Oryzias latipes: one gene and its partners. The protein of the gene in region 3 purifies or fractionates together with the protein of the main gene of each other region. This does not show direct contact. Links are inferred from orthologs where the notes say so. Each region holds a gene or a part of one and is shown on either strand. Other genes may lie near its edges. The genes, in order: sympk, ube3d and cpsf3.

Region 1 (7,125 bases), on a different chromosome or scaffold from region 3:
CACAGCAAAATTAGTTTCTTCTATAACTGGATTATGTTCCATCTGTAGGATAAGAGAAAAATATAGCAACCAAACACAGGCATAATAAGTAAATGAATCAGATTTTCTCATAAAAACCTCTCTATGCATGCGGCAAAGCCAGACAAATCTTTTTAAAAACATAAACTCAAAACAGATGGTACATTATTAAGATACAAGTGTGTTTACCTCTTTCTCCACAGGACTTGGCTCTGGTTTTTTATGGGCCTCCAGGACAGCCATGATGGAGGAAGGTATGTGAGCTTGCTGTTTCAGAGAAAGGCACTGTGTTAAAACAAAATCAATGTTCACACAGACAAAATGAAAGGACTAAGCCGGGTTCTAACCTGATGAGGTGTGAAGGAGTGGACATGCTGCAGAAGAGGCGCTCTCATTTCCGGACAGCGTTCAAACACGCTAGCCAGCTGTGCAGGTGGGAGCTGGAGCAGTACACTGTACGACTGAGGCTTGGTTCTTTGGCAGCACTTAACAAAACCTTCCCAGACTTTGGGATATTTCCACACCTACAGGACAAAACATCCAAACCTTTCAGATGGTAATGAAAACAGTGCCTACTTCCCTGAATATTTTTTACTGGCACAGCAAGTACAAAAAAAGATTGATTGGATTGGACGCTTTTTCTTTCGTAGAGCTAACCTGCTTAACAATAAGGCGCGACAGGATGTTCATGACAAATCCACCCAGTCGGGGATACATGGTGAGAGACTGGATGACAGTGCGCATGAGCAGCATAGGGAGAGGGTTCTGCTCCATCAGCTGCTGCATCACCACCGCTAGGACCTCTGAGGTGTAAACATTCCTCTCCGCAAAGCACAGGTTGGTAGCTGGAGCAGAAATACATAGGAAAAACCAAACAGGCAAGGTTCATAAATCCAAAAGTGTTTGGTTTCTTTGTACACAATTGGCACAAATGAGTGGAAAAAGAAGAAGAATTTTGTCAGGCACAAGAACATGACTGAAAGTATGTATAAAAACAGTCAAGGATGTGATTTACAAGGTCCCCAAAATTCCTAGAGAACCTCTGGTAAAGACTTGAAGATCAAAGGAAAAATGGCTTTCACAAAGGGAATGTCTGATAGCATCTTAAAAACCAAACTGTCATCATTTTTGTTTCAGGTGTCTCTGATCACTGACCTTTAATGATAGATTTCATATCGCATTTGACTGAGTCGATATTGTGTAAGGCAATGAGCAGGTCCCCAGGAGTGAGAGGGGAAACAGATGAACTTCCCTCACCTGCAACAACAGGACCAAGGGTCAACACCAGTCACCTTTACCACTATAAATAAAGCTCAGCAGTAAACAATGGATCTGGTTTCAAATATAAGTAAATATATTTTCATAAATAAAAGTAAGAAATTAGCATTAAAGATTTAATTAACATGTTTAATCAAATATATGCTTAATTTGCTATTGGGCTGGACTTGTGTAGTAGAAATGTCTAAAATTAAGCATGGATTCAAAGAATTATGCAAACATTAGATAAAAATAGCTCTTACTGTGCTGAGTTCCTAAGAGTCTGTTGAAGACCTCCTTCACAACAATCGGGTTCAGTTTGATGAGTTTAGGGAGAGCCTGGATGACTTCATTCTATAGATAACCAAAAACAAACAGGAATAGTAAAGACAATCCCGAAAAATCCTAGCGGTTGATTCACTGACTGTTAACTAGACTGGCACCTTTTCAAGACCATTTATGACGGGGATTAGGAAGCGAACATCTGGCACTCTTTTGTGGTAAAGGTCTCGCACCCTCTCCACCAGCTCTGGTGATGGTGGCACTACAATAAAGACAGTTTCCACATATTTCATTGTACGCTCTCATGGAGGACAATGCACCAAATCATGCAAAAATACATTTTCCTTTCAGAAAAATCTCCACTCTGTGACCTAAATCCAGTACAAATTAAACATTACCTTTATCAGTCAATATGTGCAGGCAGCGAGTGACCAGAGTCTCTGCTCCTTTAGGACAATTTTCAACCAGCAGTAGCAGCTCTGGAGAGTTCATCCCCATTCCACGAATCTAAAGCAAAGAGATAAATCAAAAAGCACAAACTACTCAAATGATTTAGTTCAAATCATTTCCTTTTTGATTTTCTTGAGGTCTTGTGAAAGCCCTTCATCAGACTTTAAAAAGGTACAGAGATCTAATATCTCGTTCTGCTCTCAAACTGTTTGTTTTTGTTCATAAGGAAGAGGTGTGAGGTGAGAAGTTTCAAGAATGTAGAGAAAAACTGAAAATAGGGAGAAAAAAAGGAAATTTTTGTTGAAACATGAAATCAAACAAAAAAATTTAGACTAATTTAAGATGTACACAAAAACATTTCAATTGGTGTTTAAAGGCACTTCCTTAAAAGGAAAAGTAGTAGAATAATTTCTTTTTCTGATGGAATGTACAAACTAACTCATGTACTGAAGTTTATAATGGTAAACCCATAAATAGGTCAAAATACAATTAAAATAAACCTGCATTACAGTGGCATTACTGCTGACCAATTAAAACATTCTCATCATTTCATCAATGGAAGCATGAACTCTGATTTTATTTTATGTTTTGTTTTAATTTGCGTGATTTAGGCAAAACCATAAAGTTAAAAAGTTTGACTGTTAAATTGTTTTTTTTATTATTATTCTGAGGGGTTGGTTTATGTTTCACGCTGCTTATGACTCAAACAACCCAAACTTTCCTAAACAAATGAGTGAGGAAAGCCTTACAGGCTGCTCTATTGCTCGGAGGACGCTGCGTTTGATGTCAGCAATGGCTTCAGTGTAGACGGAAGCCAGCTCGTGGACCAGCCGGTGGTTCAAAGGAAGCAGGGACAGGTAAAGGAAAAGACACTGTCTCACTGTCTCTTCAGTCCAGGGGGCAGCCACCTCTGTGTCAACAAATGCAAAGAGCATTGAGGCAAAAATGTGAAGATCGCATCATCACAATCATAAGTCAGATATGTTATGAACAAACCTGTATCCTTGTCGGCTCCAAAGAGCAAAGATGGCGGGTTGGGGTGAACCAGAAGCTGCAGGTAGTTTAGAGCAAACTTCTCGATGTAATCCCTCAGTTGGTCTTTCTCATACATGCGCTTCAGAAAAGCCAAGGCAGTGGTGCGCACCTGAAATGGAAGAGCAGATATTTAGCACAAGAACAGATCAGACACGTGCCCATCCCAGCATCACCTTCTCTTTCTCGTTGGAGCTGAGATCCAGAAGCACGTGCAGATACTGAAACTGCCTGGAGGGCCGCTTGACTATGAGCTCCTTCAGAGTTGTCATTCCTAAATATACGCGAGACTGAAACGAAAGGAAATGGCTCACAGAATGCTGAAGGAAAGGTTGAGAAGTAGCCACCGGAGTACAGCTGGGCTTTTTTGTGTTTTGTTTTTTTACCTCGTCCTCACAGTAACGCCGGATTACTTCTAATGCAGATTCGGTTATAATGGGAGCCTCCAGTACCAGCTTGGTGAAAAGCCTAGAAATAAGGAACACACAAATCTTCCTATACATACACAGCAACCAAAGCAATGTAGCAAATCTTGATACCAAGCATGTGTTCTTACCCATCCCTCTGCTCAGGCTTCTCCTGCAGGCCTGACAGCAGAGTGAAAAGACACTGATCATAGCTGTCCAGCAGGCCTGAAGGGAGCTGGCTGAGGTAAGTGTTATACTCTTGGTAGAGCAGAGAAAAGGCCAGATCACTCCTTGACCGGATGTCCTCTAAAATAAATTGAAGTACGTCCTCTTTCATCATTCCTTCAAACTGTGTCACAAGTCTGGAGAGGAGCTTTACTCTGATCTGCAACACAGATTTTACATTCTTATACCCCAAAGGAAGGAAATAGACTGACCCTATCCAGTTTTAACCCCCCTGCACTCGTTAAAGTCAAGATGTATCCTGATTTGGGTTACTCACATGGGACATTCCACTTTGTGCAATCGCTTTCTCTGAATGTAAAATGCGCTTCACAGCGCTTGAAGTCAACTTCTCATTCTGGGTGTCTGATAGAGGCTGAACAACATCTGACAAGCGGAACACTTTTTTCCTACCGCTTGCCCCCATCAACCTGTAAAGAACCAGAATCATGCGGGGTGACAAGCGAGATCTCACCCTCTTTGCTGTCTGAATGAAGTGCTAGAACTCACTTGGTTGGTGCAGATGGAAGGATGGGCTCTGGAAGCCTCTTTGGTGCGGCTGGAGGTTCCGTAGCAGAGGGCTTCTCGGAGTAACCTCCGACCACAGAGATGGCTTGGCCCAAGATCACAGCAGGAACTTTGCGTTTGATGAGAATGTCTTTAGCAGTAGAGTCTTCCTCGCTCTGTTCCTCTTTGCAAGCCTCATCCCCCTTTGCTTTGCTTTGTTCAAGACCTAAGGTTCAAAGTTCAGAAAATGCTCATATAAGACAAACCAGCATCTTTGAGGATTCTTATTTCGTTTTATGTTTTTTTCTTTTACTATGAAGTGTTTCTGGTGCACGTTTGTGATGCTCACCTGGACCAATTCCAGCTGCAGTCATCTGTGTAGCCATCATCCTGGCCAGATGTTTAATCTGCGCATCAGTACCTGCAGATTCAACAGGTGTGTATGTGGCCTGGAAAGATGCTGGCATCACATCAGGCAGATACACCATGCTGATGAGCACCTAAACCGAGGTAATGAAGAGTTTTAGGACACAAACCCTCAGAAAAAAAGACAGCCTGAGAATGATCTCAGACACTTACGAGGTTGGCGACATTTTCAGGAGTTAGCAGCGGGTGAAGGAACTCGGCCGTAAGGTCAAGGGCAGACTGCACGGCTGGAACGGCCGCTGGCTTGGGGGCTGCGAGGGGGGCTGGCTCCTCCTTGTCTTCATCATCTTCCATAAGAGCTGGTTCTAAACAGTAGAACACGCACCATAAATCAATAAAGAAACCATGTGTCTTTGCAAAAGCAATTTTAAAAAACCATAATAAATAAAGAAACCATGTGTCTTTGCAAAAGCAATTTTTATAGGCCTCCGATGCCCAAATATGGTTAGACATGAGTTATGCTAATTTCATTCAGAATATTCCCAAAAACAACATTATTGGAATAAAAAAAGAAGAAGAAAAGAAAACCTGTAATGAAACGGGATCGGAGTACCCAAAATATGTTTTAAATTCAAAAAATGTCTGTAATTGTTGTCACAAATTAAAACAAATCCATAGTGAATTTATAATCCACACTGATAGCACAAAATGAAACATTAAAATATAAACCGTGGGGGAATTAAGAAAAGAGCAAGAATAACCTAAAATTTTGAATCTAAAATTCTATTTCTATTAGTCAATCTAAAACTACAGAGTCACCACACAGTAATCTAAAGAATCTCTGGGTGTGATGCTGCTGCAATAGAGACTAACCTGTGCAGAAAGAAAAACTAAGTAAAGCAAAGTTACAGCCTCTGCAAGTGATGGCAAGAAAACAAACACTCGTAATCTTTCAACAAGTCCTTTAAAGACTGTTTTTTTTTTATAAAAATGTTATTTTCTAAGGCAGTCTGCATTTTTGTGGTGAACTACTCACCAATCTTGACCTTCTTTCCCTCTGTGTATTGCTCATAGCGAGGCCTCTTGCGAGGCTCTCGTGGTACAGGAGTGTTTCGAGTTATCTCAGTCTGAGGCATTCCCAGATCCAGCAGCAAAGTGCTGATCTGACCCTGGAACTCCACACTGCACGGATGTTTGAGAACTGCCACCAAGTGCAGCTTTAAGTTTTTTCGAACACTGCTAACCTGAGATTTGGCCAGAGTGGGGGGAAGGTTAGCTAGAAAAAAAGATAAATATTAATGATTGCACCTTAATAATAATGTTAAGGGGATAATATATATTTTTTTGACTAAGAAGCACTCACCGTGGAGGGTCTCATATGCTTGCACCACCTCTGACATGAACATTGGTCTTTGACGGGCAATCGTTGCCAAAGAACCCAATGCAGTGGTGAGGTTAATGCTGGATATAGCTGGGTGGACCATGAATTTTAAGAGCTTTTCCAGTGCACTCTTTCCTTCTTCACACAAAGTACCTGTTGATTCAACAGAATGTAATAAATCTATCCTGCAGTAAGAAAGATTTTAACATGCCTGTTTAAAAAAAAAAAAAAGAAAAAAAAAAGAGAGTTCTAAAATCTTTACCGTAGTGAATGTACGAATGGTCTTTGGGAACTTTGTCAAGGCTAATGTCAGCATCCTGGCGTTTGGGTACATCAGAGTCAGGTGTCCGCGGCGAGAGAGTGATGATTAAAGATTCTGTGAATTTGATGCTGTGTGTGCGAACACCATCATTGTCGGAGTCCAGCAAGGCCAACACTTCCCCTTTCATTTGAGTGATCAAGTCCCAGCATGCCTCCTGCATTTCTGACAGTGTTTTTGAGCTGACCAACCACTGGCAGAAAAGAAACAACAGAAGATGTGGGAACATAAAAACACCGTATTCCTATTATTTTAGCAGGAAATTATGCGAGTGACTTTAAGGTGCATACCTGTAATGTTACTTTATAGAGCTGAGTGAGTGTCAGAATGGCTTTCTTCACCACATTTACACTTTCATCCTTCAGCAGCATGTTTAGATTGGCGATAAGTCTAACAAGGAGCTCATTGTCCCTTTTACTAGTTGGGAAATAGATATAAAAAAAAAAGAGTTTCAATAAATATACATACATTTAAAAGTGTATAAGATGTAAAATGTTGACACAAACAACTAACCATGCTTCCTCTATAAATCCAATGACAAACTTTTTCACTTCTATTGATTTGTCGGTCTGAAACGCTATTATTTCCTGTAAAATAGAATTGGCAAGATACAAGAACATGACTGGGCCGATTTTAACTTACACGCTTACCATTCCTTTGCCATGAAAGGCAGGTGCTTACTTACATCCAAAAAGTTGTCAAGAAGGGACGGATCCTTGTTGATGATGAGCTCTTGAACCTAAAGGAAATTCAAACGCGTGACTTCAAATTCTTACAACCACCTCATCAGCACCTCAGTCGGTGCTGCTGTGTAGCAGTCATCTAAACTGCACAGATTTACACTACCAACCTGTTTGAGAGCAGTCAGCTTTTCATCAGTGGGT
Region 2 (8,236 bases), on a different chromosome or scaffold from region 3:
TCATAACATCTTTTGCCTTCGTCCTTAAATAAGGAATACAAAGTTGTCTAAAAATACCCTACTTTCAGTATTCTGACAAATAGAAATACTTTTGTTAATTGTAATTGACCTAAAACAGGAAAAGTTGACTTTTATTTCATGTCTGACGGTAAGAAAACACAAAAACCATGTCTGTGTTTTTATATGGCGTATGTAAAGTTCTGGTTTCAATTTGTAAGTCCTCCATCATCAGAAAAATGTCATAAATGGTAAAGTGGTAAATGGCGTATACTTGTATAGCGCTTTTCTACCTACAAAGACAAAGCGCTTTACAGTCACAGACCCATTCATGGTAAATGGCGTATACTTATATAGCGCTTTCTAACTTCTTACGAAGGCCCAAAGCGCTTTACAGTCACAGTCCCATTCACCCATGCACACACACATTCACACACTCATTCACACACTGATGGCGGCTCCGCTGCCAAACACTGCTGCCAACCTCCCACCAGAGGCAAGGTGGGGTTCAGTGTCTTGCCCAAGGACACTTCGACTCATGGGCGTGCAAGGCGGGAATCGAACCTGCAATCTTATGATCATGGGTCGACCGCCCTACCGCTGCACCACGCCCGCCCCAATCAATCAATTCATCCAGTCACACACACACAATCACACAAACCCATTCAACTCCGCTGCCAAACACTGGCGCCCACCTACCACCAGAGGCAAGGTGGGGTTCAGTGTCTTCGACTCCTGGGCGTGCAAGGCGGGAATCGAACCTGCAACCTTACGACCGCCCTACCACTGCACCACGGCCGCACCACGGATGCCCATAAGAACATACTAAAAAGCTCCTTTTCAATAGAGTGGGTTTTTCAGTGAATGAAGCAGATTGGAAGCAAAAGCGTAGTCTGGCTGTTCTACTGGATGCTTCACTGAAGCTTCCCTTCTCAAACTGCAGCTGAGATCAGGTCTTGCCTCACATGAACTCCTTTTGTGAGAAGCTGGTTTCAAATAGCTGTTCTGCAGGAGCTACAGGAAAGAGGAAACTCAAACGGCTCTGTGGGTTGCTGCGTTGCTAAAAGCAGCTTCAAGAGGATGGATGCACTCACATACTAGAAAGCCCGTGTTCAATAATGACACTCAGAAGCGCATTTTAATGATGCTTGGCTGACTAAGAAGATTACACAGAGATTTCCCTAAATCCACTACTAGGATGTTTGGCTGATGACAGCCAACTCGATTGCCATCTTTTGGTTGTCTGAAGCAAATAGAGATGTGTCCATGACATCACTGCGTGCTTTATCAGGCATTTTCACCTCAGTTTCCTGCTTATGTAACATGAACTTGGGCTGCTGCAGCTTCTCTGCTTCAGGGTGTGATGGTCCCTCACTCAGGGATGCTCTCCACCTCATGTTGGTGCCATCAGCTGCAAAACTGAATCAGTTTTATCACTTCAAACCAGTTGAACCAGTTTACCAAACGAACCTCTGTTTGGGACTGAGTAACGAGTAAACTTTCATTTGGTGTACAAACTGTTCCGGTGGAAAAATACTTTGAACTTTTCCCTGAGAAGATGCATTATTTGACACGGGTCTTCATTATTTGCTACATCAATGTTGCCTAAGAGACGAAATGGAAGTTCCTGTTTTTGGATTGATTTGATTTGTTTTTGTCTGTTTCTTTATTTGAATGATCTGCACTGAGTTAGAGCGTAACCACCATGCTTTCTTTTAGCTTCAGGTTGGTTTGGATTTTTCAAATGCCTCGACTTACAAAAACCTTTTACACCAAGTTTGTCATGTGCTTTAATTAAAAACCTATTTTTGAATCAGAGGTGCTACAGATGAGACAGACATCACACCTTTGAGCTAAACTGTTTGGATCTAGCTTTAGGTTATGACAAAGTGGAAACTCGCTTTGATGACAGTTTTAACTGGGACCTGGTGATGTCATTTGAGCTGTGGGCGTGGCCTGTCAGGTGAGTGTGGATCAGGTCTCTGACGTAAAGGGTCAGCCAGGCCAAGTGCCTGAATCTTTCATAAAGTGGAAGAAACTGAAACTCTGAAGGCCTCCACTTGACTCAACTGTTCTTGACTTTATTGTATTCCACATATTAATGTTTCGGGAAAGAAATGAACAGGGAGTAACAACAACAACAACAACAACAACAACAACAGAGTGTTTTCATCAAATATAATACTCCCCCGCCCGCTATTCTATTGTTGTGTGTAGACCTTAGAAAAGGCTGCTTAAAGTCGTCCGTTCTACCAAATAACCAGTTGTTAATTTCACTTCGACCCGTGCCATTTTAAAGCGTAAATTTAAAACAAAAACAGTACAAAAGCCTTACCGTTTGGGGCTGTCATTCAATTCTTGCATCCGCTTCGATAGGTAAACACGGCTGCTGCTGCTGCTGATGATGTGACCGTGATGATGAGCAGCTAGCCGTTCGGCCGGGGCCCACAGCCGAGATCAGCCTCTATAACAACACCTGGAGCCCTGAGAGAAACACTGTGATGACAAACCAAAGGCGCTTTTCATCTACATGTTCCTGTTTCTGCCTAATGTTGTCCTAAAAGAAAACCTGAGGTGGACGTTCTGTTCCTCCCGTTGCAGCACATCTAAAGCTAAAGGGCTGACAGTTCCCAGACTGCACTGCAGCTCGGCACTGCGTTCGAGGGCTTTTCCGCGTGGAAGTCTGCGACAACCAATCAGCTCCGGGTATGGTGTCACGAGCGCAAAGGTTACGCCCAATGCTCCAGGAAATCGCACTCCGTGCCTTCATGATAAAATCCTATTTTCGCACGAAAAAGTCTCCAATAAAAAAAAACATAAACGCAAGAGTCTATTTTGGATTAACAAATTCTGTCAATTTTTAAACTTTTTTTCTCCTTTATCTTAAAATGTCCTTTATCTTAAAATGGGCCCTAAGAAACGTTCAAATCAATTGCCCTTTAAACAATCACTTGTTTTGATGAAAATGGTGTTTTAACATGTTCTTGTGCCTTTTTTCTGACGATGGCAGACATATATTAGGAAAATTAAGTTTAAAATTGCCCTTCTGAGTATTTCTCCGTTCAAATATTGTGACTCAGGAGCAGGCAAAAAGTGTCTTTGGAAAAGCTTGTAGTTGTGACATAGAAGCTACAACCGGCATGCCACAAGCTGCCTGCTCCGCTCCATTCTGATGCAGACAAACAGATCCATGTCTGTCTTGTGTTTCCTCATCTGAGCTGGAATCTGGCTCAAAGCTGTACGGCTGGACTGCTCCAATATTGCTTGACATTTTGTTGCACCAGTAGTATAGGTTGGAGTGTGATGGGCTGTAAGCTAATGGGTGAGAGTGTAAACAGAGAACTCTCAGTTATTAGTAATAGGAAGATTGCTTTTTGCCAACGGTCCAGCCCACAGTTTAGAGGAAATTTGTGATAAACTACTGCCACTCTGCAGAAACTATGTCCTAGAAAACAACCATTGTTTTTTTTTCTCCTAAAAATGGATAATCATAATCCAAAGACCACGGGAAATACCTTTAAAACGGATCAAAAGATGACTGGAATTGGACTTTAATTCCACAAAAGTAAATAGACTGTAGAATTAGCCTCAGCATTGCAGTCCGTGTCCTTTTTTTCCTCTTGGCCCTAGGTCTTAACTGTTTAATATCAGCTGGGGAATTTTTTACATGTGTAAAGTGCTCCAAGAGTCAAATTCTACTTCAAGCAAATTTAAAGATGATCTTACATGTGTACAATGCATGAAAAGTGTGATTTGAAAAAACTTTAAAAACAATGATTCAGACGTTGTTCATTATTTCATTATTCACAAAAAATAGATGTTAGCAGTTTTAACAAAATTAATTACCTTTATGATGTTTTTCCCCTCCAATAAATAAATGTGGTCCAGGTTAGATTTTACATTTACAATTGTAAGTAAAATATATTATTATTATTATTATTATTATTATTATTATTATTATTATTATTATTATTATTATTATTATTATTATTATTATTAATTTTATTTATTCATTTATTTATTTAAGAAAAAAACATGGTAAAATATAATGCCCCAATGAGCTGTTATGAGTAAGCCATAATTGTTATACCATCTAATCACACTGCTTGGACAACTAATTAATTTTGTAAACACGTCTTTTATTTTGAAAGTCATTCCCGGATGTTGAATGCTACTACAGGAAAACCAAGACACAAAGCTCTGTGCAGATGGTGCAAACACGGGACTCTTCCTACTACTAGCCCATCACTATCCTCTATTCCTTAGATTGGACTTTACCATCATAACTCACATATCCGGTCATCTTTGGGTTGTTTTTTTTGTGTCGATCCCAAAGCCAAGGATCTGCTAAACATGACAGAACTCACGTCATGCAAGACACGTGGAGTTGGAGTCTTTTGGGAGCTGAGGAAACGGCTCCTGAGTGGACTTCTTATTGTCAGGTAATGTCAACGAAAGCCGACGTTAGCTATTATGATAGATCTAGTTACCTCTGAACTCCTGGACTGTGAGCCTGAGGTTAGCTGCTTAAATAATCCGATGTTGAGTCGCTAAAGTAAAGAATTAAGACTGATCATCACGTTATTGTTGAATAAATCATCAGTCTTCTATAAATGAACCAGCTTAAAGCTGTTAGGAAACCTGGACCAGGGGGACTTGATCACATTTTCTTTTTTATCTATGTACATCTAATACTTTGTTTGAAAAGTTAACATTGATGCGCATATTCATTGATAAATTTAATTTCACCTGATCAATGAATCAAGCAGAATATCTGAAAATGTCGTTTGAAGTCCACAGCAGGCAGCTTCATTTGACCTCTGCACTAAATATAGCTAAATAAATCAGTTTTAAGATTGAATCAACAGAACAATGCCATGAGAATCTGGATGTTGCTGAATGAAAGGATCAGTCTTGAGAACCTTGCAGTTTGGAGAAAACATGGCTTCCTGCTTCTCCAAAGAGCACGTGAGCGTCAGTCTTCTTCAGTCTGCATGAACTGATGGGTTGTCAGTACGTATGTTTCCATACGCATGGTCCACCAGCATACATTCATTCATTCATTCATTCATTCATTCATTCATTTTCTAGCTTCACAGGGCTGCTGGAGCCTATCCCGGTCACTTTTGGGAGAAGGCAGGGGACACCCTGGACTGTTCGCCAGTCTGTTGCAGGGCCACAATCAGACACCCATTCAGTCTCACACTCACACATAGGGACAATTTAGATTAACCAATTAACCTATGAGGCATGTTTTTGGACAGTGGGAGGAAGCCGGAGGCCCCGGAGAAAACCCACGCATGCACGGTGAGAACATGCAAACTCCACACAGAAAGGTCCCCCGTTGATGGGCTGTTTCAGGTCCCCCAGCCGGGACTTGAACCGGGGGCCTTCTTGCTGTGAGGCAAGAGTCCTGTTATTAGTAATGTTATGTAATCTTATTATTATTATTATTATTAGATGTAGTTTTCAACAAAGACCCTTCAATCAATTTTCTGCCTATTTTACAACTTTCCAACCAAAATTAATTTTATTTTAGAAAGAACATTTTCATACAACTAGAAGGAGCTGCAGAAAAGTGCAGGGTTGAATGCTATATTGCTGACTGAAAATTAAACTTAAAGGGTAATAATTTGACCTTCTAGACGTGAGGGAGCTTTGTTTATAGAAGCTGAAGGCTTTTTTCCTCCGTCGACCATATGACTTCACGCCACAGCGGGGGAGATTGTTGAAAGGTAATTCAAAAAAACTGTCAATTGCATAATCTCAAGACGAAATTATGTTGTTGTCCAAAGTCCTGTGAGCGTTTTAACGTTGTAATGGTGTCTGTAGCTGAAAGAATGCCAAAGTAAGGAGCTATGAAACAGGGTGAACTTTGGTGAAAATGTCGGAAGCCTCTCCCATTGAAACCCATTACAAAGCTGAAATTACTACAAAGTTTAAAGGCTTATATTTCAAAAACGAAAAAAAAAACGTGAAAATCTGAAGCTTAAAGTATGTTGAAGTTATAATGGAAGAAAGAAGGAAAAAAAGGTTTTTGAGGATTCCCCATTTATTTTAACGGAGGCAAAAATCCTGGAAATCTTGAAAAGTTCAAGGATTTGAAGGACCAAAAGTCACAACTGGAACGAGCTGAACATTTTAATAGACGAAAGTTCAAAATAGCATAAAAACTGTAGAAGTTGAGCGTCCAAAAATGGCAGAAGATACCATAATAAAGAAAGAAAGAAGGAGAAACAGGAAAACAATGGGTTGAATGCTTTATAGCATTCAACAATTATTGTTTTATACTAAAGAAAGGAGCAACCTTTGGTAAAGAAATTATAATTACATCTAAAAAGTAACTAAGGGCAGTTTTTGCCTAAGTAGGATAAAAATGACAAAACTGACTTTAATTTCTAGGATACGATCAGTGATATTGAAGAACCAATTCTTTAAAAACCCAGCATCTGCTGTAACATAGAGAAAAATGCTATAAAATGTCTTTATTTTTTCTGGTAGAAATAAAAACATACCCCTGGCATGATATGGATTACATCTAGAATATTGAAATAATAATAATAATAATAATGGGAATAATGTTAAAATGATCAAATTAAATTTACTAGTCAAAGCGGTGGGTGCAGTACACCTGTTGTGCCTCTAGATGGAGTAGATCTAAAGATATAAAAAAAATCTTCAGTTCCTAGAGGACTTTCCAAAAGCATTGACCTTCACAGAGCTCAGCACTCTGCTACCACATGTACTTCATTTGTTTTCCCAACAGCTGAGAAGTCCTGTGGTCTCCTGGGAAACCATCCACTGTACATGAAACCACATAAAAGTCCACCCTAGTTCATCTTCAGTCATAGTAGGAGTCTGTCCACCTTTGCAAACAAACAAATGAATAAATAGGAATACTTGTTTGAATGCATTGTTCTTTTGTGACAATGTTTTGTCCCACATTTTCTGAAATTCATAGATTAGGACATGACATTTTAACAATAGGGTTTGGATGTGGCTGTCTTATTAATCACCGCGGGCGAGACTAATTACAAATCCGTTACAATAGTCCATTTTCATTTGGCAGGAGACAAATGCTGCCTTTTGTATTTTACATAACAGCAATAATTGCTAAACTGTCTTTTTTGTAAAAGCGCAAAAAAAAAGAGAAAATAGAATTTTCTGATTATAATAATAATAATAATTATTATTATTATCATTATTATTATTATTATGATTAGGGATTAATATCTTTATAGGAGTTCTATGGCAAAGTATTAAACTATTACAACCTGATGCAGCAGATGTACGTCACATTATCCCAAAAGAAACTGCAACTGTCATAGTTTAAAACAAAGTTAGAGGAGAGGAAAGCTGCTCTTTTACGAGCCAAAAGCCCTTAAATGTTTGCTTGTCGTGTTTTGTAGCTTTTTCCTGAGGTTCAGGAGAAAGACGTTCAAGCGGAGAACTTTAGATTTGACAGATTCTTGGGGGGTTTCAGGCAGTGCCAGACAGTGTAATGAGAGCTGGAGAAATCAATAAATCATTTCATTCATTTCTCAAGTCGCTGCTCTGTTTCCCTGGAGTCTGGAAACATTTTTTAGGGGGAGGGGGGTGATTTATTAATTAATTGTTGAAATGAATGCATTTGAATGAAATGAATTTAGTTTTTATGTATGTATTTTCACTTTTAGTCTGACATTACGATCTCAGACTCTTGCATGTCAATTTTTGATTTAATTTTTTAAAAAGGCTTTTTTTTTTTAGAGCTGCTTGTAACTTTTTACTTTCCTTCAATGAAACAACGGTTTATTTTTTCCACTATTTTTCATGTTTTGCATTTGGTATGTGTTGAGTCTTCTCTTATCGGCTGCTCTAATCCTGTCTGACTTAAATCTGATGGCCAGTCTGCGTCTCTGCCTCCGTCTCCTGCAGGAAGGAGGTGGCCGGAGCTGCTGATGATGTGCTTGTAACCGGAGGAGGGTCCTCTCTTGTGGTCAGGACTCCCAGAGGGCAGCTGGAGCTGGCATTGCCCGCTGGAGTCAGCTTCACGGAGGGGTCCTGCATCCCAACACCTGGAGAATCCAGTGCAGAGGAGCTGCACTTCAGGCTCCGCATCACTGTTGAGCAGAGCTCTCATAAAGGTAGAAGTCCTCACATTTAATTGGAGCCACTCATCAAAGTACTTGAAGGTATCCTATTTTGCACTGAGCATCATTAAAAACCAATAAGCAGCCTCTTTATCTGCCATGCCAGA
Region 3 (8,153 bases):
TCAGAAATGTGGCTTTGGCGTGTGACTTTGTCTTTGCTGCTGCAGTTCTGTGCTCACCTTCAGGTTACTGATGTGTTTGAAGACAAAAGGGTTGTTGACGTTGATGGCTTTGCGGATCTTGTCGTTCATGGCGTTGATGTAGGTTTGATAGACAGCCATGCATTTCCGGGCCAGAGACGAAGCGTAGTAGATGGGAATGTCGTGGAGCTCTGGGTGGTTCTGCCAGTACTCGTCTGGACCACAGGCACAAACAGTTTCTGCGTCACCATCATCACAGGCTTCAGAACCAGAAGGTGATGATCTGTGCCTGTGCACTCACCCAGGATGAGCAGCAGCTCTTGAGCCCGTCCCAGAGCAAACACGGGGATCAGACAGCGACCCTCCCTGTTTACAATGTCGTGCACCGTGTTGCAGAAACGGGCCTCTCTCTCCTCACGCTTCTCATGGATGTGTGTTCCATAGGTGGATTCCTGACAGAAAGGATCAGATATTTGTTCAACACCATTCTGAGACGGGACAGAGGACCCAATACTACCAGACCAACAGACTATGGAGACGAAAAGCTCTTAGTTTAGAATTCATTAAAACTCGGTATATTCATTTAATGAGTAAAACAAAATTCTCAATAACTCCTACGGTGTTTTTGCATTAATAACATGAGCACTTTCCATCTAGAGTCTGGTGTCTTTTGGCTGCGTGTTTGGACAGCTCACAGGTCTAACCGCCCTCAGAAGCAACGTTTTTGTGACATTTGAGACGCCGTGCGCTGTCTGCATGTACTTTAGAAAAATCCAGCCGCACTTTGGACCCTTTGCTCGCGTCGCTCTGCCATCACTGTGCGTTTGTCGTTACACACTTGTTAGCAGTGGAATACATGAGGGACAAAGTATGAGCAGCCCCCCCCCGTCGTACTGGAGCAGGAAAGGAAAAGCAGCCACATTCAAACAAAGTAGTGCACGCTGTGTGGGCGCTGCTGCCCCACTTGGCCGGTACCGTTGATCCCATTATGGCTGAAACCTATCAGTCCAGTAACTGATGACGTGGCACTGGTACCAAACGATACCGTTTCAGTACTGCATCCCTACTGATGTCTGAACATGAGACAGCATGAGACATGAGCCTGCGCCTGAGCTGGTCACTAAGGGGAGGAAAAATATCTGATCATCGGGGGGGGGGGTTTAAAGCCAAACTCACTGTGATGAGAATGTCTGGTTTCACACTTGGGATCTCCGCCGCCATCAAGTGTCTGTCCTCTTGGCGGGAGAAGTCTCCTGTGTACAACAACTGCAGGGACACAGACAAGCACTGAGCACCAGAGACAAACCGCTTTAGGAAGACGGATCCAGACACAAACCTACCTTGACTCCTGCGATCTCGATCATGAACATAGCGGCTCCAAGCACATGGCCAGCATGATAGCACCAGAACTTGATGCCAGCCACCTCCTTTACCTCGTGGAAGTTAATGGTCTCAATCTTTTCCATGCTGTCTTCCAGGTCCGTCTCCGTGTAGAGCATCTCATCAGCAGAAATGTTACTGCAGACACACAGACGGGTCAGAACAAAAAACCCAAGCTGTGCCCCAACTCCAGAATATCAGCCACAGGTCCTACGGCATCACTAGAGAACCTGAAGTAGCTGCATTAACCCTTGTGCTACTTTAGATGACCCCCCCCCCTTCCAATGACGTGTTCTCCCTACCATGACAAAGGTGGATAAAGGTGGAAAGATTTCATGTAATCCATGGACACCAATGAAGATCACAAATCATTGAAGAAAACAGGTTCAGAGCACTGTCTAGTGGGTCTAGATGACCCAACTCCCAATGTTAAAGTGCCTAGGATAGCACAAGGGTTACTAAGACGTCTAACCTACAGGATCTGCTGCATCAGACCTAAGACTTTCACTCCAACACGAGTTGTACCTGACTTTGATGTAGTCTGACAGCAGCCAACGATAGATGGCTTTGGTGGCATGCGTCATGAACGTCCGCCCTTTAAAACTGGTCTTCTGCAGAAACCAAGGCAGGGCTCCGCAGTGGTCCAGGTGGAAACTGTACAACAAGAATGGATGGTTAGTGGAAAGCTGCATGTGCACCTTTGCACACGTTCACGGCAGCTCTCACTTACTGACTGATGAGCAGCAGGTCGATCTCAGCCGGATCGATCAGGTCAATGTACGGCAGGGCGTCCATCCCCTCCAGACCAGGATGGATCCCACAGTCTAGCTGGAGTACCAACACACAGACAGCTGTTGACAATGTTAACAGCTGCTGTGACAAAGAAAACCAAAAGAATCTCACCATGATCTTCCTCCCTTTGAACTCCAATATGATGCAGGACCGTCCCACCTCTTGTCCAGCCCCCCTGGTCACAATCACATCAAACAGTCACACAGTAAAGAGCTGTGCTTACTCATGAAAGTACCCAAACACAGTGCTTAGACCAGGGGGGTCCAACTCCAGGCCTCAAAGCCCAACCAGAAATCCTGCCTTGTCTGGAGCTCATGACCTGGTGGGTTTATCCAATAAGGAGCTTCAACGGCAGGTTGGTTGGGTCCTCAGTCATGATATAAATACAGGGTTGTGTCAGGAAGGACACCTGCCAAACCACCTGTGTGAATCAGTGGAAGCTGATTGGCTGTGGCGACCCTGAAGGGATATGCCGAAAGGTGAATAACAAGGACAGGTTGGTTGGAAAAGATGGTGGACATCGGCCCTCGAAGTCTGGATCCTCACACCCCTGACATAGACTTTTAACTCAATGACAAAGAATGGGGGCACTTGTGGATCAACGTGATCAAAACCTCTGTGGACCGGTCCTCAACTACTTGCCCAAGTTTTTCTACCTCCTTTACATTTTTGTCACTGTAATTAGTCATTTCTCCTGTTGGGATGTGCAACGCTGCAGCTTCACCTCATACAAGACCAATGGAGAGAACTTAGTCTGGACTGGAGAGGTTTGATACTTCTCACCCTCCTTGTGACATGGGGGAAACTCAAGCCGCAAGGACTCCAACCATGTGGGGATAACTGGCCAACTGTTGAGCAACAATCCAAAGGTGTCAGGCACCAATGAGTCTCCCAAACAGGTCAGAGTCAGCTGTCAGGTTGAATTAATTCAATTCAGCTATAAGTTAATGGGATTTTTTTATTTACAATAACGCTGGTTGTAAATTGTAAACAGCAAATTGTGTGTGTGACTGGGTGAATGGGTCTGTGACTGTAAAGCGCTTTGTCCTTGTAGGAAGAAAGGCGCTATACAAGTATACGCCATTTACCATTTAAATTAAATGAATTTTCATTTAATTTAAAAAAAAACTAATGGAAAAAAAATCTAACTCTGCTAATTTGTCCTTGGAAAGCCGGGAGCAAAAGAAACAAAATTCCCATTTTGGGTTTTTCAGAAACCATAAGGTGGTGTGGAAACTACTTTGACTGAAATCACTACCAACTCAAAGTTTAATCATTCAAATGTTTAGGAGACTCAAGGCTCATCGATAGAAAATTAAAAAAAAGCAATTTGAAATGCAAAGGTTTTGTCTAAAAAAGATGCACCCGCATCACCAGGACATCACTCACTCACTCACACACCCCAACCCCCCCCCCCCCCCCCCCCACACACCCACACACACACACCCACACACCCCCCCCCCCCCACACAAACACACACACCCACACACACACACACACACACACACACACACACACACACGGCATTCTCCAAAACTCAGCAGGAAACTGAAGCTTCATTATTATGTTTTACTGTCGAAACCAAAGGAATCAGCTACCTGGAATCACACGTTGTTTGTTTGTTACAAGTTAATTAGGAAAAATGTTCCTGCATGTTATTTTGAAATATTTGATCGTCAACATCAAAGTTTGTTTCTCTCTGGTGACTTCCACCAGTGACTTAAATGTCCTACAGCACTTGAAAGCAACACTTCCATAAACTAATTTGAATGAACGTGAGCTTTGATTTCCTGCTGTCTTTCTGTATCTGCAACAAACGTCATCATAGTTTAATGTTTTCATTGTGAAAATTAAACTATTATTACATTTGAGGTGTTTTTGGTGTCTTCAAACATTGTTTCTCTTTCGGCAAAAGTTGCACAGTCTTCAGCATCATCATGTTCACATTCAGAGCTCACGCCTTTAAAGGTCCAGAAAAGTGGAAAAAAATGTATCTGCAGCGGGATGACAAGCCAACATTTTTTTTAACCTGGCAAATCCACAGAAATTATGAACGTATATTAGAAAGCATAATAAATCTCGCTCAGTTTAGACATGGAGCGGAAATGCCCATTTAGGTTTGACCGCCAGTGTCCGTTGTTATTCGGTGACGGCTCACTAGCTGCAGTGTTCGGTGGGTTCGGTTCGAACACTCACAGGGGTCGGATCAGCAGCTGGTCGCTCTCTTCAGCAGGAACCATCGCGTCCACCCTGCGTTTGGACGCCATGTTTGCTTCTTCAACGATGCCGCGCCTGCTGTTACTTCCGGTTCTTCCCGAAAACTCTCCGTGCGACACAACGCCTGTAAGTTCCGCCCCCACTATTTCTTTCTTTCTATTTTTTTCTTTACAAACCAAGTACAAAACCAAATAAAAAACAAAAACTAAAAAAATTCTTAAAAATAGGTAAATATAAGGCAAAAAAACAATTTAAAATAACAATAGTTTGGATATATTTCTGTACATTTATGTAGTTTCTTGTTTTGGTTTGAAATGCATTTAGGAAAGAAACTTAAAGTAATACAATATCTGAAAAATAAATAAAAAAGGACCCCCCCCCCCCCCATTTACATACCTAAATAGAGTGTCTACATCTACACAAAATAATAACAAGATTGATGACATCAGAAACGTTCAGGTTTTCCATAAAGAAGAGAACATTAAGTAATGAAAAAGAAGAAATATTACAATTTTTAAGTGACAATTGATTATGAATAATTTTATCTTTTTGCAACAGTGTTCTAATTTTTCAGTTTCAGAAAATACATGGTTTGGATTGAAATTTGAATCTTTTATGTAAAAAATCTCCAACAGGGTACATTTTTGATATTATTTAAAATCCGTTTCTTTCATTTTAGGTGAAAGTATTTTGTGTATAAAGAAAATGATTAGTCTATCAAGGTGGTTTCTGGGTCACGTCTATTGTGAGAGAAAAACCTTTTGTTTAAAGGTTAGAGTCACTAATTTATTTTTGCATTTTTATCTTTTATGGGGATATCATTAATGGTTAACTCTGCAAAGTGTGGTTTGATTGCATGGTAATATTTTATGAACAAGATTAAGTAAAGGTATGAGAATTACTTTAAAGACTTTTTTATAACAGCAACTAGAATCCTTAATTTTGTATTTGGTTACAAACCCATTGTAGGATAACAGCATTGCATCTGTACGCACCAAGTCATGAACAAAAAACACACCATCATCACACCACTAAGACATAAACAAGGATATCTTGTTTACAGTTACTGTATAATTCTGTTGTCCCATAAAACAGTATTGTGGGGGGAAAAGTTGTGGGAGTTGTTGGCATTTTCCCAAATTCTAATGCTTGCTTGTAAATGTTTGACTGTATAAATGTTTTTTTGACAGATCATATTCACACTTCTGCAAAAGGATAGTTCTCCGGTAGAGTTTGTTTGGGATATGATACCACATAGATTTCATACGATACCAATTTATTCTAAATGCTACACTTTGTAATTCAACATCTAAAGCTTTTGAGCCATTATTATCTATTATCTCTAACCAATTATGGTTTTAGTAAAAAGTACGTTTTATTTTTCCAAATAAATTTAAAGAGAATAGAATTAGACAACTTGATCGTTTTTGGGGATGCATAGATTGAGTGGCAGGGAAACACAAGTCTTGAAAAACCTTCTGCTTTAGATAATAGATTGTGGCCAAATATGGATAAGTCACGTCCCAACCACTGATTTAAAGTTTCTATATTGTTTTCAGTCTGGGGGTAATATTTACACTTTCTCTATCATTACTGTTTTCTGTCATTATTAGACCAAGATATTTCACTTCACAGGTTATTTTCAATATTACTTAGAGTGCAGGTATGAATAGGCAAGATTTCCCATCTTTTGAGATTTAGAATAAGGCCAGATGCTCTTGAAAAAAAAACATTTTATCAATAACAATATATACCACACACACACACACACACACACACACACACACACACACACACACACATATATATATATATATATATATATATATATATATATATATATATATATATATATATATTTTTTTAATAAAGCCGTGTCATCAGCAAATTGATTCATTTTAAAATTCTTACCTAAAATGTTAATAAACGCAAAATCTGGAGAATATTTCAGAAAGATGGCTATAGTATTCAGCTGAGCTTATAAACAACAACAGGCTAATAGGACATCCCTGGCAAACACCTCTATTTACAGGAAAGCTGTTTGAGAAACCTCGGTTAAGAATAATTCTGCTATTTATGTCTTTGTAGATCATTTTTTTTTATGTTTCAAAATTTTGATTCAAAGCCATAGGTTTCCAAGGAGCTAAACAAAAATGCGTGTTCTAATGAGTCAAAGGCCTTAAAAAGAATCCAGAAAGAGGATAAGACTATTATGGGGGATAATTTGGTTGTAACTTAAGATATCTAAGATTAAACAAGTCTGATGATGAATGTGTCGCCCCTTAATAAAGGCTGACTGTGTTTCATCTATGATCTGACCTATTCCTGATTTCACTCTGTTGGCATAGACATGTGCTCATATTTTATGACAACAGAGAAGTGTGATGTGTCTCCAATTTTCAGTTAATAACACACCGTTGTCTGGTTTTGCTAAAAGGGATGTAATGCCTCTTTTAATGTTTGTTAATTCCTTGAACGCCTCTAGCAAAAAATCTTTGATGTTATTCCAAAAGTGTTTATAAAACTCAGCTGTAATTCCTCAGGTCCTGGTGACTTCCCACTGGCCATTTGGGGAACAGCCGTATCAAGTTCAGGTGTGTTCAGATTCTGTGAGATCTCTGAATTTCTTATTTTAGATATTTCTGATCTATTTTAGATCCTCTCTGGTTCTGAATACATCTATTTTAGGGGTTTTATCCCGAATTAACTTTTCAAAGAAGATGTTGTGACTTGAAAAGTGAGAAGTACAAAAGTTTTTTAAAAAGTTAGTGATATAATCCTTAACCCTCAAGTGACCGGGTGGGGTCATTTATGACCCCAGCCATATAATTGAATGTGCCAGATCTTTATTTTTTATCCGAATTTTTTTTCCTACCATGAGTTTGTCAGTCTACTAATCCTACACAGTTTCATCGTTTTTTGCAGGGATCAGGCAATTTGTGTGACATCACAACTCTTGTGGGGTCATTTATGACCCCGAAGAGAAGCACTGGTTTTTAAACATTGGTTTTTCAAGTTTATTAAAATGTTCCACTTCTAATCAGTACTTTATATTGTGTTGCAGTGAACCATGGCCAACAGACCTAGGCTAGCAAGATTTACAGCTGCTGAAGCAATGGGACTAATACTTCAAGCCCAAAGTGATGATGAAAAGGGTTAAGGTTAGGGTTAGGGTTAGGGTTAGGGTTAGGGGTTAGGGTTAGGGTTAGGGCTAACCCTTCTCAGAGAGCTTGGGTATGAACTAGTGAAGCCACATGTATAGAAAAGGTCACAGTTTCCAAACCTCCATAAAGCAACTAGGGAAGGAATAGCAAGCATTGGTGTTGGTCCTGCTAACCCTGCAGAGCAGCCCGCAGTTGCTGCAATACCTGGCAAACGCAAGCGCTGTTCGTTTTGCCTACGCAACATTGACAGGAAAGTTTCACGTGCATATGCTTCATGCAACCAGCCAGTGTGCCCAGAACATAGCCACAAACAAGTGGTTTGTAGTACATCGCTGAACTTCGTTTCAATAGCTTTGAGGGAACTTGTTTTCATAACTGGGTATCTGCTTTTGAGAGTTACAATTTTCAGTTATTTTTTGATATCATATTACACATACACAAACAAGATGTTTGTGTGGTTTTTGTTTTAAAAACAGGCATGGTAGTAACATAGGTTGATTGAATGTGTTCTGAGTAGGTTGACCTCCTTACCAATTTTAGCATATTCCCTAGTCAGCAAGTCAGCTAATTATTTTTGTTGAT

Evidence for each region.
Region 1: the proteins of cpsf3 (region 3) and sympk fractionate together in Homo sapiens (co-fractionation; 6 studies listed by BioGRID and IntAct, with this or other methods). This does not show direct contact. The link is inferred for Oryzias latipes from reciprocal best matches to the Homo sapiens genes CPSF3 and SYMPK.
Region 2: the proteins of cpsf3 (region 3) and ube3d purify together in Homo sapiens (affinity purification with mass spectrometry; 4 studies listed by BioGRID and IntAct, counting the BioPlex papers as one, with this or other methods). This does not show direct contact. The link is inferred for Oryzias latipes from reciprocal best matches to the Homo sapiens genes CPSF3 and UBE3D.

What each region holds. Positions count from the first base shown.
Region 1 is NC_019879.2:16,686,026-16,693,150, forward strand, and holds part of sympk (symplekin), read right to left. Parts: coding exon 7,092-7,125; intron 6,981-7,091; coding exon 6,927-6,980; intron 6,829-6,926; coding exon 6,755-6,828; intron 6,659-6,754; coding exon 6,532-6,658; intron 6,435-6,531; coding exon 6,185-6,434; intron 6,076-6,184; coding exon 5,905-6,075; intron 5,818-5,904; coding exon 5,578-5,817; intron 4,907-5,577; coding exon 4,755-4,906; intron 4,676-4,754; coding exon 4,525-4,675; intron 4,402-4,524; coding exon 4,179-4,401; intron 4,100-4,178; coding exon 3,949-4,099; intron 3,832-3,948; coding exon 3,596-3,831; intron 3,508-3,595; coding exon 3,426-3,507; intron 3,330-3,425; coding exon 3,216-3,329; intron 3,152-3,215; coding exon 3,004-3,151; intron 2,918-3,003; coding exon 2,757-2,917; intron 2,065-2,756; coding exon 1,956-2,064; intron 1,820-1,955; coding exon 1,719-1,819; intron 1,630-1,718; coding exon 1,539-1,629; intron 1,276-1,538; coding exon 1,174-1,275; intron 864-1,173; and 7 more. UniProt on the Homo sapiens protein: Scaffold protein that functions as a component of a multimolecular complex involved in histone mRNA 3'-end processing. Specific component of the tight junction (TJ) plaque, but might not be an exclusively junctional component. May have a house-keeping rule.
Region 2 is NC_019874.2:4,397,642-4,405,877, reverse strand, and holds the start of ube3d (E3 ubiquitin-protein ligase E3D), read left to right. Parts: upstream 1-4,171; 5' UTR 4,172-4,350; coding exon 4,351-4,439; intron 4,440-7,914; coding exon 7,915-8,123; intron 8,124-8,236. UniProt on the Homo sapiens protein: E3 ubiquitin-protein ligase which accepts ubiquitin from specific E2 ubiquitin-conjugating enzymes, and transfers it to substrates, generally promoting their degradation by the proteasome.
Region 3 is NC_019882.2:22,752,007-22,760,159, forward strand, and holds the start of cpsf3 (cleavage and polyadenylation specificity factor subunit 3), read right to left. Parts: upstream 4,515-8,153; 5' UTR 4,458-4,514; coding exon 4,387-4,457; intron 2,366-4,386; coding exon 2,302-2,365; intron 2,227-2,301; coding exon 2,129-2,226; intron 2,053-2,128; coding exon 1,924-2,052; intron 1,537-1,923; coding exon 1,359-1,536; intron 1,285-1,358; coding exon 1,195-1,284; intron 471-1,194; coding exon 320-470; intron 234-319; coding exon 58-233; intron 1-57. UniProt on the Homo sapiens protein: Component of the cleavage and polyadenylation specificity factor (CPSF) complex that plays a key role in pre-mRNA 3'-end formation, recognizing the AAUAAA signal sequence and interacting with poly(A) polymerase and other factors to bring about cleavage and poly(A) addition.